4 linked regions of the Caenorhabditis elegans genome follow. The protein of the gene in region 3 purifies or fractionates together with the protein of the main gene of each other region. This does not show direct contact. Each region holds a gene or a part of one and is shown on either strand. Other genes may lie near its edges.

Region 1 (4,816 bases), on a different chromosome or scaffold from region 3:
TCAGAGGAATGGCTCCCGATCCAACTTCTTATGATCGAGTTTTCAAATTTCTTATTTTCGGAGGCAAATCGGTATTTTTTTAAATTAAAATCTTTAAAAATTTAAATTTAAATGTCTCTAGTTTTTAAATTTACTAAATTAGTTATGTACTCTCTATTAGAATTTTTCTGACAAAGGTTTCTAAAAAAATGTATCATATTTTGAGTAGTGGCAGTCAAAATATTTATTTTTATTCAAAAAGTATGAGTAGGGCTACTTAAAATTTCCCATTAAGCTCACAGAGTGGATAAAATTGAGTTTTGATGTTAAAAATTGTTCTTCAACGGCTGTAACTCTAAGAATCATTTAATGAAAAAAAAAATGTATTCAGGTTGGTAAAAAGACGTTGCTCCGATCATTTTGCACAGAAGGAGATAATGAAAGTATTTGGACTTCTCTTACTGTTGATGATGAGAAGGTTTTAATTGAAGCAACTGTTTCACAAAAATGGGAAGAAGGAATGTCAAAAGAGCACGATGCAATTGCTCTTGTTTTTTCTACAACTGATGTATATGTGAGTTATTTCGATTGAAGCTGGCAAATCAAATAAATAAATAATTTCAGAGTTTCGAATACACTTTAGAATTATACAATGAAATTCAAAAATCGACAGAGAGAATTCCCCTTGTGTTCATAGAAAATAAAATAGATATTGTGGAAGATAGTCAAATGGATAAAGGATTAGTTGAAGGAGAAATGAGGAAAAAACATAAGAGACTTTATAGGTTTGCAGATGATTTTTAATAAAAAAATTATAAAAAAATAATTTCAGAGTGTCAGCACTGAAAGAATTCAATGTTATGCATCCATTTGCCTACCTCATCGAGAAATTGACACGACAGAAGAAAGATTTAAACGCGAATGAGAGGTTTGACTCTATTACTTTTCAAATTATTTATTTAAACGTTCTTCTCTTAAATAGCTATATTTTCATTTGACAGTTTTCAGACCTTCTCCAATTATCCAATCTGTAATGAAAATTTCTAAAATTCTAAAATTCTGAATACTATATAAACTGAATAATTCCTTCAACATTTTTTCAGCGTTTCAGAAAACAGTCTTCGTCTGTAAATTCTACATCAACGTCACCACCATCTACTACAGTTGAAGCTTGGGTTGAACCGGTTCCCACGGCGACAACAACTTCGGCTCCCGCACTTAAAAAAGATAAATGCACACTGATGTAGTATTGTTTTTGAGTTTAGATATTTTGTTTTTTCTATTGAACTACGAAAAATCACAGTTTCTTGAGGTATTAATTTTTTGAAACAAATTGGGCGTTACGGTTTTGATCTCTTTTTATTTTCTCTTTTATGAAATCACGAAATAAACCTTTTGAATTTCTGAAAAAATATATATGCTTTTCCGAAATTCTGAATTAAATAAACAGTTTCATAAAATGCACCATGATGCACCATAACGTGATAGAGTGCGATTTCTTGGAATTCGAATTTGAAAAACCGCCAGTTTACACGAGAAATGCGCAAAGACACTTTGCGCCAGCATGCGTCCTTGACGCGTTGTTGTCATTTTATTCATTTTCTCACAGCTTCCACGGATTTTCCTTTTTTTTATTTTCCTTTTTATTTTCCTCAGTCATTTCTCATAAATTTTAATTTCGTAAACGCAAAAATTGTAGAAGAAGAAACTGGTAAGAATAACCGACGAAAATGATGGCCGCACGACTCCTGGGAACGTCGTCTAGAATTTTTAAATTAAATAAGCATCTTCACACATCTAAAGGTTGGTTTAAAAAATCTATTTTAATATAATATTTTCGAAGTTTCAGTCGCTTTTATGCCGGTTGTTCAATTCAAATTATCGGATATTGGAGAAGGAATTGCCGAAGTTCAGGTTAAGGAATGGTAAGTCATACTGTAGATGTAGTTTCGCATGAAAGCCAGTGAATTTTATAATTTTTCCACAAAACTGTTTTAAACTTCCAGGTACGTGAAAGAAGGAGATACGATTTCGCAGTTCGATAAAGTCTGTGAAGTGCAAAGTGATAAAGCAGCAGTAACCATCTCCTGTAGATACGACGGGATTGTCAAAAAATTGTAAGTTTCTTCCTAAATTCGAAAATTTCAGTTTCCCTGCTATCTGGTCGTTTCAATTCTTTTTAATATACATTGTAAAAAGTAACAAGGCACGTGGCGTCTCGGTTTGCACAGGTTACTCTGCGTCTCTTCTCTGTTCTTGATTGACAATCACAATATCACTGATCACCAGTGAAGCTGAGAGATAAAGCTTTTTGTGGAGATGACGGAGAAAATGCAATCAAAAAATCAAAAATTACTGAAAAGAAATTTTTTCCTGTTTTTCCTTGAAATGTCATTTTTATCTGAAAATGCAGAAAAGTTTACAGATATCATGAGGTTGATGGAATGGCTCGAGTTGGACAGGCTCTCATTGATGTTGAGATAGAGGGAAACGTGGAAGAACCCGAACGTATGTTTTTTATGCGTTCTAATGTTCTTATCGAAATTCCCTATCAGTTATAATCTCGCAATAGTTTTTCTTTGAAAATGCTATCAGCTATAATTGCCAATTTTATCTGTGATTCGAAATTTAATCTACTTCAAGAACTGAACAAAATGCATTTTACTTGATTTCCCAAGGGGAAGTCTGACTTCTCTGTTTCTAATTAAAATTGTGTTTTGTTTTCTACTAGTGTTTTTTTTTCAGAACCGAAGAAGGAAGCTGCTTCATCATCGCCAGAAGCTCCGAAGTCGTCAGCGCCAAAAGCTCCAGAATCTGCTCATTCAGAAGGAAAAGTTCTTGCCACACCAGCAGTTCGTAGAATTGCCATTGAAAACAAGATCAAGCTAGCTGAAGTTCGCGGAACTGGAAAAGACGGAAGAGTTCTCAAAGAAGACGTTCTCAAGTTCCTGGGACAAGTGCCGGCTGGTAATTTTTACGAAGAACTTTTTGAAACTTTTAATGTTATTTATTTATAGACCATACCTCTGGATCTACAAATATTCGTACTACCCATCAAGCTCCACAACCATCTTCGAAATCGGTAAATTTTTTTAAAGTGGTTTCAATTACAAATCAACTATTTTAGTATGAACCTCTCAAAGAAGATGTTGCTGTTCCGATTCGTGGATACACTCGAGCGATGGTCAAAACGATGACTGAAGCTCTCAAAATTCCACACTTTGGGTACAACGATGAGATTAATGTAGATTCTCTGGTCAAATATCGTGCTGAACTGAAAGAATTCGCGAAAGAGCGTCATATCAAATTGAGCTACATGCCATTCTTCATCAAAGCTGCTTCTTTAGCTCTTCTCGAATACCCATCTTTGAATTCTACAACTGATGAGAAAATGGAAAATGTTATACATAAGGTATACTGATGAAATTCACACGTTTACTTTTAAAAAATAATTAATCTTCGAATTTGTCTATTTTGAAAAATAATTTCAGGCTTCTCACAATATTTGTCTCGCCATGGACACACCAGGAGGGCTTGTTGTACCGAATATCAAAAACTGTGAGCAAAGAAGTATCTTTGAAATTGCTCAAGAGCTCAATCGTCTTCTGGAGGCTGGAAAGAAACAGCAAATTAAGAGAGAAGATTTGATTGATGGAACTTTCTCATTGAGCAATATTGGAAATGTAAGTTTTCTTTTTTCAATTACTTAATATTAGTAAAAAAAAATTAAAGATCGGTGGAACCTACGCCTCTCCAGTTGTCTTCCCACCACAAGTGGCTATTGGAGCAATTGGAAAAATCGAAAAACTCCCACGATTCGATAAACATGACAATGTAAGAAAATATTTTTCAAAATTTGTGAGACGTGTTGATAACAAATATTTATTTAGGTCATCCCTGTGAACATCATGAAAGTTTCGTGGTGCGCAGATCACCGAGTTGTGGACGGAGCTACAATGGCTCGCTTCAGCAATCGCTGGAAGTTCTACCTCGAACACCCATCTGCAATGCTCGCCCAACTTAAGTAAAGTATCATGTTTCATCTGGTTAATTTTATTAGGTGCCCAATTATCCCTTGATGTAGACATTCCCCCGTTTTCAACACTCTAAACCTGTTTTTTTTCTTGAAGGTGCCTCCTGTTTTTAGAGCATATTTTAGATAACGATTGCATTTTTCAATCCATTTCTTACTCGATTATTAGCCTGCTTTTTTTTTCTTTTTTCTTGTGCCATTTACTTGTTTGATGTAGGATGCAGATATCAAATAATCATGTTCGTGTAGAATGAAAAGATTCCCGTGATAATTGGAAAACATCTTTATTTACAAGCACTTTCAATGTCTAGTATACGATTTTCTTTGGACAATGAATTGGTCGAGGATCGATGAATCGATCACAAAGGAATTGCCACAAATCTTCCTCGGCTTCTTTGTATCGAGTTCCATTGATTAAAATCCATGGAGCCTGAATTTCAATTATTACAAATTACAATACATTTTAAAGATACCCAATCCATCTCTGGTGCCATTTGAGCAACAATATTTTCTTGATCGCTGAATAGTTTTCGGCCATGACGACTTTCGGCACATTCCATCATTCTGAAAAAATCAAATGAACTTAATAGAGGAAACATATTACGAGAAAACTGAATTCTGAGAACGCGTATTGTGCAACATATTTGACGCGCAAAATATCTCGTAGCGAAAACCACAGTAACTACAGTAATTCTTTAAATGGCTACTGTAGCGCTTGTGCCGATTTACGGGCTCGATTTTCGGAATGAATTAAGGTCAATTATTTATTTATTGATAGAATATTAAAATAAAGTAAAAAAAAGG
Region 2 (3,211 bases), 5.6 Mb from region 3:
CGATACTGATGATGTCACATTTGGCGAATCTGCAATATTTTCTGTCGGTTTTCAGAGCAACGAAAAGCTGCTCTACCGTAATCCGACAGCCATCACTTTGGCGGTGACGATGGCTCCGTGGAATGGGAGAAGCTCATTGTCGAGCTGATCTTCGCTGCGGCGAACTTCGATCACTTGCACCAGGTTGTCGGATTTCTGCAGAAAAAACGGAAATTTTCGGGCTCCACGCTTGCGATTTGTGCGAAAATTACATCTCTGAATCCATAAACGTTGACAAAACCGGCTACCGACGCGAAGATCCTTCGATTCGCCTCGTATAATCCCTTCCCCATTCGATATTCACCAATCGCGTCGAGAACCTTGTCGCCGGGCGCCACAAGCGTTTCGGCGAGCATTTTCTGAGCTGAAAGTGGTTTAGAACGGGATTTGCTGTGATTTAGATTGATTTCGAGTAACAAAATTGAGTTTTGGAAATTACCGAGAAAGGATTAAAGAATAAAAAGAAAAAGTCTGTAGATAACAACAATTTAATGAGTGAACAATTGTGGATAAAGATGGTGATACAGATCAAGAAATTTTAAAAAATCAACAACAAAAAAAAAACAGTGAAAACCAGAGAAAAAACAATTTAGGCGGCCTCGACGGTGAGATGACGGAGAGCCTCGGCGACCTCGTCGTACAGCTCCTTGAAGTCCCCACTCGGCTTGACGAAGATCAGAATCGACGGGCGACGATGTCCGACGGCGAGTCCGAGCTGCTCACGAGATGGAATGTAGACGTATGGGATCTCCTTCTCCTCGCAGATTCCCGGAATATGTGAGTACACATCGATTGGAGAGACGTTTCCTGAAAAATTGAACGTTTTAAGGGAAAAATAGATTAAAATCCTACCAGCAAGAATGCAGATTCCCTTCTCGTTTCTGCGGAGCTCCTTCTGCACGTCCTTGATGCCCTCACGGAGGGTTTTATCGCCGGCGGAGGCCTTCTTGATGAGCTTGTACACCTTCTTGGCCAACTTGCGGTTTGCTAGTGGCTGAGCGATTGGGTTTACCTGAAAATAAGACATTTTTCATTAAAAAACCAGCGAAATTAATGATTTACCAGCTCGCAAAGTGCCTGGTACTCGTCCTTCTCGGTGGTTGGTGCGGTGGCGTCTCCATTGGCTTCTGATACGGTCGACTCGTTCATTGTCTCGTCCAGATTGCGCTTGCCCATTTTTTGATTCTGAAAATTCATAAGTTAATCGTGTAAATTAGCCGCAAAGTTCAATTAGCTTTAGGAAAAGAAAAACAATGAAAATGGGATTTTTGCAACAAAAAATCGATAAAAATCCTATTATGGGTGATTACATAGGAATTTTACGATATTTCATGGCTTAAAATTGATAAATATTATATTTCCGAATTTTAAAATTTAATTTTATCGAAAAAAATCGGAGAAAACCCGCAGAAAACTTCGAAAAATACAATAATTATGTGAAAATGCGTCAAAAGAGAAAAAAGAGAAATCGAATCGAAATGTGCAGTGGAGCGCGTTCGCCCACATCCCAGAGAGTGGAGACGCAGACAATTCGTTGGCGGGAATTCAAATTAGAGATTTTCAGGGAAATTCGTTTTGTTGAATTTTCAACTGTTCCTGACTCCGATTTTTGCAAGTTTTGCAGCCTCTCCGCTTCCCCGAAACGCTCAAACTTCAATTTTTACGAGTTATCATCAAAATCGCAACTAAAATATAACAATTTTATGTCCCCGAACCCCCCACCCGCCCCCTACACGGTACTATAAAAGCCAACTTCTTCCAGAATTCAAGCATCAGAAGCATCTTCTTCTTCTTCATCATCATCATGAACGTCTACTCTGTCTGCGTCTTCGCCATCTTGGCTATTTCTTCAGTTTCTGGAATCTTCTTGCCACAAGGAGGAAAGAAGTGCGGAGGAAGCAGTGGATACGGAAGCGGAGTCATCATCGGTGCACCACGTCCACAATAATTTTTGTGCAGTTTCTGTTGATTACTGATAAATATTGAACATTCAAACTCTGTTTTTTGGGCTTATAATCTTGTTAATCGCGCCGCAGGCCTTTCAGTTTTTAGGGCTTAGGCTTAGGCTTAGACTGAGGCTTAGGCCTAGGCTAATTCCTAGGCTTAGGCTTAGATGGAAAATCTATGACCTAATAAAATGGGACTTTGAAGTAGAAAGTTTGAAAAAAAAAAATCCCAAATTGGAGTTAATCTACGGGACTCTAAAGAAGTGCGAGACAAAATTAAAAAATTTCAAATTTATTTTTCTAGTCCAAAATGCTCCTACATATTGAGCAGTTTTCTGTTAGGTAGTTGAGGCTAGGTAGGCAGGCACGGTTTCAGGGCCTCACGAGAGGCAGGCGGAGGCCGCCTTAAGGTCAGGCAGGCAGGCGTTTTGGAACCCCTAACATTAACAATTCGACTTGCGTTGTATGATTTGAGTGTATTTGCAAACTTATATTTTCCGTGCAAATGATCACAAGGTTTTTAAGCATCGAAGCATACATCTTTGATGCTCCCGCTCCCGGAACTAACTTTATCGATGTGGGTGGAATAAAAGCCTTCCGATCACAAACCTTTTCCTCACTTCGGTTCTTCAAATGAACATTTATTGCGTTTTAGTGTTTGCTGTACTCTCCATCTTGTCGGTTGTTGGAAAACCTCGAGCTAACCATATTCGACCTGCCTCAGACCGACATATCATCATGGGATTCGACCTACCATCCAAGTTTGGATAATTCAAACTGAAGCAATTAATTTATGAATAAAAGTTGAACATTGTCTTGAAAATCTTGTTATGAAATTTGGGATAATCTGGTAATTTAGAACCATATGATTTTCCAGCACTTTTGAATTTTTGAAAAATACAGCTTTTATATATTTCTATCAATTTTTTAAAATACTTGCGGACAAGCTAGTATACTTTTTTTGGTATTTTCTGGTATATTTGGCAATGCTAAACAGTTTTATAAAATAAAAAAGAAGCGCTTCATATGATTTTATAGTACTTTTGAATTTTTGAAAAATACAGCATTTACATTGACATACCAAAAAATAGATTGACATACCAAAAAATAGATTGACATACCAAAAAATAGATTGACATACCAAAAAATAGATTGGCATACCAAAAAATAGATTGGCATACCAAAAAATAGATTGGCATACCAAAAAATAGATTGACATACCAAAA
Region 3 (6,600 bases):
TACAAGTGTACGAAGAGAACGGAGACTCTGCGTGACACACAACTCTGGCACTGGAATAATTTTTTGGGGCTGAAAACAAAAAATTCTAAAATAAACAAACAAATCTGAAAATTTGTCTACTTTTGGTACCGTACTCCATTTAAAGGGACATTCTACTATAGTATGCGTGGGTCTCGCAGAGATACAATATTTAATCCCTATTTTCGTAGATGCGCCTTTCAAGTTACTGTACTCGAGATTGTTTAATAAAATTCCTTAAATTATCGACTTCAAACCAATTTCAGATTTCAGCACTTCCTGATCGCCTGAGAACATTGAAAAACCAAAAATCTGATCAAATTTCAAGTAAAATGAAGAAAAAGGGTGATTTTGCTAGATTTTCACCTGCATGGTGTGGAACTACGAGTTTTTTCTGTAGAAAACTGATGAGAAATTGCAAGATATGTGATTTCGTGAATGTTTCGCTAAAACTCTTAAATTTCCGCTATTTTACAGACACTAGCGCTTGGTAATTATGCCGACTTCATGAATTGTTCGAAAAATCACAAAAAAAAATCGAAAATTTTATTTTAAATCGCCTAGACGACTACACTCACACGAAAATAGAATAATGGGCTACACAGTAAAATGAAATTCATAAAATACGAAAAAGAAAAAAAAAACAAAGCTCGAAAAGTTCAATGTTAAAGTTTAAAAAAACCAAATCTGGTTCCGAGAAAATGAAGGAGAACGCGAAAACAAGAAAAGAATAATAAGAAAACTAATTTCAATGGAAGAAAACGGAACGAAAAGGGGGAATAAAATGAAAAAAGGAGTGTATAGAATTTATCACATTGGAATTTTAGCTGAGAATGTTTCGACAGATAGTTGAGGAGCGTGGGGAAGGGGAACCAGGTAATTTGAAAGAAAATGGAAAAAAAAATGGTGAAAATGAGCAGAAAAAGGATAGTATGAAGAGGGTTGTAGCAGCTTCAAGAAGAGCATATATACGCAACTATACATATTGTGCAGAGGTTTCTGAAAATTATAAATTTTTTAAAAATAAAAAATTGGAAACAAATCTACCTCATAAACCAACATCCGCCGGTGTCCAGTCTCTGACATTGAGTGGCTCGTCGAGCCCAAGCAAAGTGCCAACGAAGGAAGGATTCAACTCGTTACCGTAACGAGTTTTCAGTTGATCCGGGCAGGATCCTTTCATGAGCTTATGCATTCCCATTTGGGAGATCGCGTGATAATGAACAAAAGCGGCGAGCACGACAAATGTGTGAAAGAGTTGATGCGATTGGAACTGAAAAAATAAACGTTATTAGTTTTTTTTTGAGTAAAAAAGATTGTTTAGCTTTTATTTTTTGAGTCTTTTTCGTATTTTCGTAAATTTTCTTTTGCAAAATGTGGTTTAAAATCTTTAAAGTTATGTTGTCTGGTTTTCCGGAAAACCGAGAATTGAAAATATATATTTTTATATTTTTCTCCAATTGCTAGTTTTTTTGAAACCACATACCCAAATATCGCACTTTCCAGGGAAACATCTCTCAGGTACACGTGTCGCATAGAGTGTTGCACCACCAATATACATGGCTCCCATCATAATCATCAAATGAACTTGTGACTCCTCAACCATATAATGAACACCGTCAACTACAAGTAAATGAAATGCTGGGACCACAGCCGATAGGCCCATTGCTATGAAAACTGCTGCTCGTACAGGCCGGAATTTGGGCTCCGCGAATTTATCCCAAAGCGAGACGACCATTGCAGCGATTCCAAGTATAATAATCATTCCGTTGTATATTATCATTGGTTGAGGTCTACAGTAGAATGCAAAATAGATCCACGGAACAAATGATCCAACGATGAGTAAGGAAATCCCAGTGTAATCGAGTTTACTGAACAGTTTAGCCATTTCAATAGAATGGCATGCAACCGTATGAAAAAGGAATGACATTCCAAGACATATCACTGCACCGAGGAAAAACGCCGAGTAGATCAATTTCTCCACCCATTGCATTTGATCATGGGGACGAGTCAGAAACCATATTCCGATACCGAAGAACGCAACACATCCATACATATGAGTCCAAATGTTTCCTGTTTCAGTGTGCAATGCAAAAATACTCTTGAAGCAGCTACTGAACGATGGAAGTGGAGGACGATGTCCTGTACGGAGGTATTCGTTATCTTGAAGCCATTCGGGTAGAGTTTCGAAATTTGTTGCCTTCCAGCGGGCTTCCCAGAACTGAAAATAATTTTGTAATATTTTTTTTTTAACTTTAATCGTTTTTTTTAACCAAAAAATTATTCTTTAAGATTTCTCATAATTTCAAGTAATTGTCTTGCAAAAAATATGTAGAAACTTATCAAAAATGTATATTTTTGAAAATTTTCTTATCAATAGCTCACATGTGTGCAAAATTTTTTGGCTCCTAGTACAAAGAAAATTTTGAATGTAATCAGAAAACTTTTAATAGAAAGAAAAACCAAATCAAACATTTTCGGAGATTCGTGAATTTTCAAAACTTATTAGAAATGTTTTTCTCTACATAATTTGTTTAAAGCAAAATTGCCGCCAATTAACATTTATCGCTGCATTTTTTGCTTTTTTTTGTTGCAATTTTGCAATTATCTCACTGGAGTTTTCCCTCACCCTCTTGATAACAGCTCTTGGTCCTTCTCCAGTTTCGCTAGGAATAATAACTTCTTCTTCATTAATCTCAACTTCAAGCTCATCATCATCATCACTATGATCCAAATGAATCTCCGCATCATGTCCAGCAGTAACAAATCTCAAATGTTTTCCATCTTCGTGTCCCCGACGTTGTGGATGTAATTTGTATTTGACAATTCGTCGACGATGCTGATTTCCACCTTCTTCATGATTATCATGAATAACTGCAACTGTCATCTTTTCTCCTTTTGCATTCGGCATACTCCATGCTCGACGATGTCCTTTTTTGAATGGTAATGCGGCTGCTTTAGACGTTGATGGGACATCTCCATTGTCAATTTCGATTCCTATAGAAATCATTTAGTAATAGTGTAGTTTAGTGAAAGGAGGGAAGTATTTTTGAAAAAAACGAATGAGAACACTTCCTGTCACCTAAAATTAATTTGAGGTGACGGTCAACAAGTTTTTTTTTGGTTGGAAATTTAACTTTTAATTCACTAATTTATTAAACGAGAGATCGGTGTAAATGATGCGATTTTTGGTTTATTTCGTTACACTGTAAACAAATAGTAAAAAAAAATTTTTTTTTGAAAATGTTCTCATAAATTGCGCAAAACTCTTATTTTTTGTTTGGTTTTGCTTTAATATCAAAAGCTCAAAAGAAATATTTTGTTTTGTTTTTATTGAACATTTTTAAAAATCGATTTTTTTACATTTAAAAGCCTTTTTTTCTTGAACTCTAACCTTTATGGGAATTAAATTGGATAAATCGATAATTTTTGAAAAAATTGGTTTAGATTTTTATTTGGAACATCATAAATAATGTAAATGTGTGAATTTTTTAATTAGAAACATTTCTTCAAAAATTCCATTTTTATGGACGAATTTTAATACTTCTCAAGAAGAATTTGTGGGAATGAACTATGAAATGAATATCAAAAATCGGTTCAAATACAAAAAGCATGTTATGCGAAATATTAAAGTATTTTTCGCACTTTAAAAAAAAATCATTTTTTTCAATAACCTTACCTTCAAGCAAAGTTGGAAGCCTATTCTGCCTTGTCACATACATTGATTCGTCTCTTTGCTGACTTGCAGGCTGTTCAACAACCTTACTATGACGAACAATAATCTCAAATCGTTGACCATCTGATGGCTGACTATTCGGACTGAAACAATGTTTTTTTGGAAGAAAAAAAAATCTGATGATTATTTACAATTGAACATCGACTTGATCAACAATCACATTCTGATTCTCTTGTGTATCAGCCAACTGCAGCGGTCCGTCAGTGATAATATTTTCTGCCTCTCGGAGCACATCCTGCAATGCACTTTTCAATTTTTCAAAATTTGATTTCTGATCACCGTAAAAATAACATTTGTCATATGAGGGCAAGCAGTGATAAATATGAAAACACGAAGTGGCTGGCTGGAGCTTGAAGAATGATATTCTAGCTTTTTTAATATTAAATAAGAATTAGCGGTAACTGACCACTAAAAAAATAGGAAAAGGTTTCAGAAAAATTCTCACTATTTGTTTTTATTGGTTTGCAGGAAATTCAAAAATAATGCCGTTAATTTTTTTTTGTATATCTGAAAAAACCTAAACTTCAGAAACTTTAAAATTTTTATACAGCTACAGCTTTAAATACCGAGAAAAAATTTCAATTTTTTTTTGAAAATAGAAGATCTGAAATAGTGGAAAATTACCATTTCTTTGAAAACACTTTTTCTTCAAAAAAACATCTCCAAACAGTGAGAATTTCTTAAAACTTCTAGCTCCAGCCACCACTCACCGACAACAAAAATCAATAATCATATGCTAATCTCTTTCAACCCAACAAAAAACGTACAGTAACACTCCGCAATGGGCTTTGTAGATTACTGCTATTCCGATTTTCCATAATTAATTCATCATTGTCCAACACCATCACCATATCTCTCTGAAATGTAATAAATTAAAACTAAAAACTGTGTTTTTTTTCTTTTTTCATAGAATAGATCACGTGAAATAGATTACCTCGTCAAACGAATTTCGAACGCTTTTTTGCAAAAGTTTTTGCGATTCCGCCGGTGTTGCCGATTCCACGTCATCTTCCTCCATTTTGTTAAAGCTGAATTTTAGTTTTTAAAATTTTTTTCAACCGAGAATATAAGAAATTCCAGAAAAAAATCAAATAAAATCGGAACTGTGAGAGAATAAAGCGGATATTGATTAAAAAGCTTTTGCTCACACATACAAACCAAAAGCGCAAAGTTTTCTCCGTTTTCTCAAGAAAGCTTATGAGACAAGAGGGCGACTCGTGCTGCTGGAATGTGTGTTGGTGCGGGGAAGCGCATTTGCTGACCGGAGACTCAGAAGAGGTCAAAGTACTCCTGCATGAATTGGATCCAATGTAGTGAAATTATGACTTCCTTGTTTAAAATATGAGTTTCTGAAAAATTTGTTGAGTATTTTCAACGAGCTTTCAAGTTAAAACAGATTTTTTGTGTTTCCCGATGTAAAGCTCCAAGACGTGTTCGAAGAAATGGCGGAAAAATCGGCGGAAAAAAATTTGGGAAGTTACGCGAATTTTCCATGAAAAAAAGATTCGAAGGCAATTTTTCATATAATTTTTAAATAGTTTTCAATTTAAGTTATCGAAAATTGAGGATTTTAATGTTTTAAATGAAGAAAACACCTGAAAAACCACAAAACTTCGCTAAAAATTAACAAAAGATAAACGAAAAAGACACAATTGATATTCGTGATGAGACCCAAAGTGGAAGTGGTATGTGCCTTTAACAACTCGTTACGGTATTTTGCTTCTAAACTTTTTTTTGAGTTCTTTTACAAAAAGGTTTTCGTAGATTTCTAGTTTTCAGCACTGATCAAACTCATTCTAATTTTTTAATGCTTCGAAATATGCAAAAAAAAACTCCAATTATTTACAAGAAGCAACGGAAACAGCTAAACTTTAGAGCCCGTGCCGAGACCCGTCCTGGAAATGACATGCGCCTTTAAAACTACACTACGGTAATTTGGATCAATATTTACTTTCTCAAAAATTAATGTTTTCTTATTATTTTGGCAGTCACCAATATTCTTTAAAAAAAGCGAATTTATTTATGAAAAATGTTGAAAAAATAATACAAATATACAAAATATCTTTAAAATGCAGGAAAATTCAATTAAAGCTCGATATATAAACAATTATTAAAATATAAATATTTATATTCAAATTTTATTTCGACTTCTTATGTTTCTCTTCGACTTCATTATCATCCGAAGAGCTCTCAGATCTATCGTCTCCAACTTCCGATTCTTCGGTGTCTTCACCACTCATTCCAGGAAGATGCTTATCCATTTGCAAAAGGAGTTCGAACGAAAATTCCACAAATCGCTCCATAGTTTGCTTATCTGAAACTCAACATTTTAACAATAATCATTATTACGGTATGATACCAGTGTCAGTTGTATTGAAAAGTTCGACTTCAGTAATTTGCCTAGCTCCCAAGATTTTCATTCGTTTCAGCAAAGTTCTGGCGACTTTATTGAACCCAGCTGGCCCATCATCACTGCTTCCGAAGCCAACAATTGAAAATCTGATTTTCTCGAAATTCGCCTTCTTTCTAAGCTTCGAGTCCGCTGCGAGATCCTCAAGCCATTCCAAAAACCATTCTGTCGAGGGTGTCGGCTGACCACCAGCCGTAGTTTCAGAGATAAAAATACAAAATCCCTTGAAGGCCATTAACTCCTTCACATCCAAAGAGTCTGACCACCAAATCATCGGTTTTCGGACCATTTCATCACAAAGCTTGTCGTGAATCACCTTGGCCCACGGAGCTGCGAGCCCGTCTTCTTTTCCTAGAACTATTACGACGGCTTCTGATTCGGCAAGTTCCTCGGCAAGTCGTTCTTCTTCTTTTTTCTGAAAGAAATTGGAAGTCGT
Region 4 (4,041 bases), 8.2 Mb from region 3:
CCACATTCATTTAGACAAAGAACAACTGTCAACTATGGGTCAACATTTGACAGACATGAGCATTTCACGTGGGAAATGGCCAGATAGAGCATTACCTAGAGAAAATACTTTTTTCTATGTTCGTCTTACACTTCTCATCTATCTATATACAGGAAGAGCTTTTCGATAATCGAGTTTTTCAAAACAGTTTGTTGCTTTTTTTTTGGAATTGCTTAAATTTTCAGCTAATTGAGAATACGCTTGGTTAAAATTTTAAAACTTTTTACATTCCAAAAGCTTCTAAAACTTGCCAGTAACAACTTTTTCTCAATTCCGAGCTACGGTTTTCCCGCATTTTTCAAACATCTTTTTTTTTTAAGTTCCCAATATTTTTTTTTCAAAGATTTTGACAAAAACCATTTTTTCCGGCAAATTGCCGAAATTGAAATTTCCGGATCCCCTCTGATTCAAACTCTGAAAATTAGAAGAATATATATGTTAGTCGTGATAAGATGTTGCTTTTATAGATTTTGCAAGGCATTCTACCTAAATTTCCAATGGTTAAGTTTTCTTTGTGCACATTCAAATTCTGGGTCCATGAAGAAAAAAAAACAATTTCATAACCCTTCTACGTTTTCTCTAAACTCTCACTATTCGCACAATTGCATCATGCCTCCTCCATATTGCCATCTCACGCAAAAAAGCACATAGCCATTCTCAAAATATCTTTTTCACATCACGTCGTTTTCTATTCGCTGTCTTTTTTGTTGTACCCATGTTATAGTTTTGACATAGAAGCTCATTTTATTTACAAAAATGAATACATAGATGTATTGCTTGTTTTACATAAGATCCTCTTCTTGTTTTTTTTTGTCATGATTTGTCGTAGATTTTGAATTGTTTTATTAGTACGTGCCTCGCATGTTCTCGTACTTATAGTAGCCTTATAGGTCTTACGAGAATGCCCAGGGAATAAACAGAGCAGGGGTATACGGCAAATTTGCCAAATTTGCCGTTTGCTGAGCTCGGTAACTTTGCTGAATTTGCCGAGCAAGACAAATTTCAAAAAAGTAGATTTGTTAAATTTTCCGAGCTCTGCAAATTTCGATATTTGCCGCACATGCCAAAGTTTTGACATTACAACTTTGACCAAAACCATTGGTTTTGTCCCCAAAAATTGAGTAAAATGACACAAAATTGAGTTATTTTGATAATTAATACAGAGCGAGTTACGGAATATGGCAAACGAAAATGCAGTTTACTCTAGTTTTTTTTTAAATATAACTATGTGGTCTAAACCCTATAATATTGGAAAACTAGGTAAATTGTGTTTTTATCGTAGGGGCAAGTTGGCTCATTTTCGAATTAAAAAAAAAAAACAAAATGTGCCAAGTAGGGTCGATTCCTCTGAAAAACGATTGCATCATTCCAAATTTCGTAATCTCTTTTACATTATTTCAATTTCAGACTACTCCAATGAGTCCTAAACTAGGCTCGAGCTCATAGCCCGGCTGCTCTAAGTACGCCAGAGGCATATGTCTGAAAAGCAATTTCAACTTTCATATCTTCATATCTCCGCACGCTTCCGTGAACCAAATCAAATCAAATCCTCCAACGTTGAAAAGTTCAAGACTTTGGCAATTCCTGCTCCTCTCGCTTCTTCAAACTATTTCTCACGTTCTGCTCCAACAGCAGTTCTTCTTCTTTTACTTCTCACAAAATTTCGTGCAAATCACGTAGGGCCCCTCAATTCCCTCTCGCCACTCTGCACGGCTTCTCACACACTCTTGCTCTCTCGCCAGGGGCTCTCCGTCTCCCTTCTCGGCGGTGCCATCGATTCGTTTGGCGCGAGAGAGAAAGCTCCGGCTCTTTTCACTTTTATCAGCGGCCCTTGTTTTTCACCGACTTCACTCTTGCACATTTTCAGGCAACTTCATTTTCTAAAATGGCTTCTTACTCGCAATTCTTGACCAAGGCCCAGGAGGACGAACTCCGCTCCATCGCCAACGCCATCGTCACCCCAGGAAAGGGAATTCTCGGTAAGTAACGATATTAAATTTGGGAAACAAAATTTGGCATTTTGTGTGTTACAAATCTAATCTCTAATCTCTCCAATCTCCCTGAAATTCGAATTTGCAGCCGCCGATGAGTCCACCGGATCCATGGACAAGCGTCTTAACAGCATCGGACTCGAGAACACCGAGGAGAACCGCCGCAAGTATCGTCAACTTCTGTTTACCGCCGGAGCCGACCTCAACAAGTACATCTCGGGAGTCATCATGTTCCACGAGACATTCTACCAAAAGACCGACGACGGAAAGCCATTCACTGCTCTTCTCCAGGAGCAAGGAATCATTCCAGGAATCAAGGTTGACAAGGGTGTCGTCCCAATGGCCGGAACCATCGGAGAGGGAACCACTCAGGGATTGGATGACTTGAATGCTCGTTGCGCTCAATACAAGAAAGACGGAGCACAGTTCGCCAAGTGGAGATGCGTGCACAAGATCTCATCTACGACTCCATCAGTGACTGCTCTTAAGGAAATTGCCTCCAACTTGGCTCGCTATGCTTCAATTTGCCAACAAAATGGACTTGTACCAATTGTTGAGCCAGAGGTAATTACCGAGAGTCGAGAGCCGAGAGTCGCACAGCACTGGTACCTACCCACCTAAGTTCCTTTTGGGGGGATGTAGTCGTAGATCGGCTTGAATGTAATACTTAGAACGGTTTTCACAGAAAATTTTAATATTCGATGCAAAACCCAAGTTAATGCCACGTCCGTTACTTGGGTCTCGCAGCAGTTTTTTTTTTGTAAAAAAAATATAATTGGCACTCTAATTAGTTATCATTTCAGATCCTCCCAGACGGTGAACACTGCTTGGCTCGCGGACAGAAGATCACCGAGACCGTGCTCTCATATGTGTACCACGCTCTCAACGAGCATCACGTCTTCCTCGAGGGAACCCTCCTCAAGCCAAACATGGTCACCTCCGGACAATCATTCACCGGCGAGAAGCCATCGAATGCCGATATCGGACTCGCCACCGTCACCGCCCTCCAACGCGGAGTCCCATCCGCCGTTCCAGGAGTCGTCTTCCTCTCCGGTGGACAATCCGAAGAGGATGCCACATTGAACTTGAACGCCATCAATCAAGTGAGCGGAAAGAAGCCATGGGCCCTCACATTCTCCTATGGACGTGCTCTTCAAGCCTCCTGTCTCGCCAAGTGGGCCGGAAAGGACGAGAACATCGCAGCCGCCCAAGAAGTCCTGCTCCATCGTGCTCAGGTCAACTCCCTTGCCTCTGTCGGAAAATACACCGGGGATGCTTCAGCTGACGCAGCCGCTTCCCAATCCCTCTTCGTCGCCAATCATTCTTATTAAATGGCCACGCTCAGGATCTCTTTTTTCTCATTTTTTAAAACTATTCAACGCACGTAGAATTATGTGTCTGTATACCCCTTTAATTGTCATTATTTGCTTCTCTAAGTCTCTTCGGATTTAATAAATCTTTGGTAGATACGAATGCACAATTAAAGAGAGATGTATCTTTGGAACATTTGATTCAAGCAGACAGACAATTGAGCGATGGCTCGTCGCGATGCATTCATAGTGATGACGTCAAGATGTCTTCTACTACTCACTATTCCTTGTAGGTTTATGTGTCTGCTCAATTGTTGAGAACAGAAGGTGCCTAGTGTAAGTGCGAGAGAACAATTTCCCAGTGGAGCCGTTTAACCTTGGGCAGGTGCGATGCACATTTTCAGATCGATATCTAACCAGTTGCACACTATTCGCAACGCATTACAGCCATTCATTTGTCCATTGCAATGTACTACCGCGAAGTGAGAGGATCTGAGATCTTCTATACCAAGTACTATGGTCCGCCAACTGAAAAGGATACCTTGGCTGCCAAGAACCCTTTTGAAATGTAAGTGTTTTTAAAACTAAATTTTCTAAATTTCCAATAGTAAATGTGTTACACCCTGTCGTTGGATTGTTTTTGTTTTCCAAGTTGTTTGATCTTCAGAAATCGACTAACCGAGATTTTTAAAAGTCAAACG

The links.
Region 1: the proteins of paqr-2 (region 3) and dbt-1 purify together in Caenorhabditis elegans (affinity purification with mass spectrometry, with the first as the bait; one large-scale study listed by BioGRID). This does not show direct contact.
Region 2: the proteins of paqr-2 (region 3) and Y48A6B.3 purify together in Caenorhabditis elegans (affinity purification with mass spectrometry, with the first as the bait; one large-scale study listed by BioGRID). This does not show direct contact.
Region 4: the proteins of paqr-2 (region 3) and aldo-1 purify together in Caenorhabditis elegans (affinity purification with mass spectrometry, with the first as the bait; one large-scale study listed by BioGRID). This does not show direct contact.

The regions. Positions count from the first base shown.
Region 1 is NC_003280.10:7,942,069-7,946,884, reverse strand, and holds dbt-1 (Lipoamide acyltransferase component of branched-chain alpha-keto acid dehydrogenase complex, mitochondrial), read left to right. Parts: upstream 1-1,678; 5' UTR 1,679-1,709; coding exon 1,710-1,782; intron 1,783-1,828; coding exon 1,829-1,904; intron 1,905-1,985; coding exon 1,986-2,096; intron 2,097-2,404; coding exon 2,405-2,487; intron 2,488-2,724; coding exon 2,725-2,946; intron 2,947-2,996; coding exon 2,997-3,061; intron 3,062-3,106; coding exon 3,107-3,391; intron 3,392-3,470; coding exon 3,471-3,662; intron 3,663-3,711; coding exon 3,712-3,813; intron 3,814-3,869; coding exon 3,870-4,007; 3' UTR 4,008-4,283; downstream 4,284-4,816. Other genes in the region: ZK669.5 (GTP-binding protein Rhes), read left to right, coding at 9-71, 371-553, 604-764, 812-907, 1,091-1,226; GILT-like protein ZK669.3, read right to left, coding at 4,320-4,442, 4,486-4,576. UniProt on the Caenorhabditis elegans protein: The branched-chain alpha-keto dehydrogenase complex catalyzes the overall conversion of alpha-keto acids to acyl-CoA and CO(2).
Region 2 is NC_003281.10:11,006,235-11,009,445, reverse strand, and holds Y48A6B.3 (Putative H/ACA ribonucleoprotein complex subunit 2-like protein), read right to left. Parts: upstream 1,225-3,211; 5' UTR 1,216-1,224; coding exon 1,102-1,215; intron 1,052-1,101; coding exon 892-1,051; intron 847-891; coding exon 629-846; 3' UTR 517-628; downstream 1-516. Other genes in the region: exos-1 (Exosome complex component CSL4 homolog), read right to left, coding at 1-29, 77-195, 252-395; fipr-17 (FIP (Fungus-Induced Protein) Related), read left to right, coding at 1,844-1,987. UniProt on the Caenorhabditis elegans protein: Required for ribosome biogenesis. Part of a complex which catalyzes pseudouridylation of rRNA. This involves the isomerization of uridine such that the ribose is subsequently attached to C5, instead of the normal N1.
Region 3 is NC_003281.10:5,375,148-5,381,747, forward strand, and holds paqr-2 (Adiponectin receptor protein), read right to left. Parts: upstream 4,783-6,600; 5' UTR 4,773-4,782; coding exon 4,689-4,772; intron 4,612-4,688; coding exon 4,522-4,611; intron 3,990-4,521; coding exon 3,886-3,989; intron 3,838-3,885; coding exon 3,698-3,837; intron 3,016-3,697; coding exon 2,648-3,015; intron 2,240-2,647; coding exon 1,505-2,239; intron 1,292-1,504; coding exon 1,067-1,291; 3' UTR 1,066-1,066; intron 1,018-1,065; 3' UTR 552-1,017; downstream 1-551. Other genes in the region: Y32H12A.6 (Flavodoxin-like domain-containing protein), read right to left, coding at 5,893-6,068, 6,114-6,579.
Region 4 is NC_003281.10:13,562,803-13,566,843, reverse strand, and holds aldo-1 (Fructose-bisphosphate aldolase 1), read left to right. Parts: upstream 1-1,906; 5' UTR 1,907-1,924; coding exon 1,925-2,018; intron 2,019-2,118; coding exon 2,119-2,594; intron 2,595-2,833; coding exon 2,834-3,361; 3' UTR 3,362-3,498; downstream 3,499-4,041. Other genes in the region: T05D4.2 (F-box associated domain-containing protein), read left to right, coding at 3,808-3,908. UniProt on the Caenorhabditis elegans protein: May be involved in the metabolism of fructose-bisphosphate (beta-D-fructose 1,6-bisphosphate) and of fructose 1-phosphate.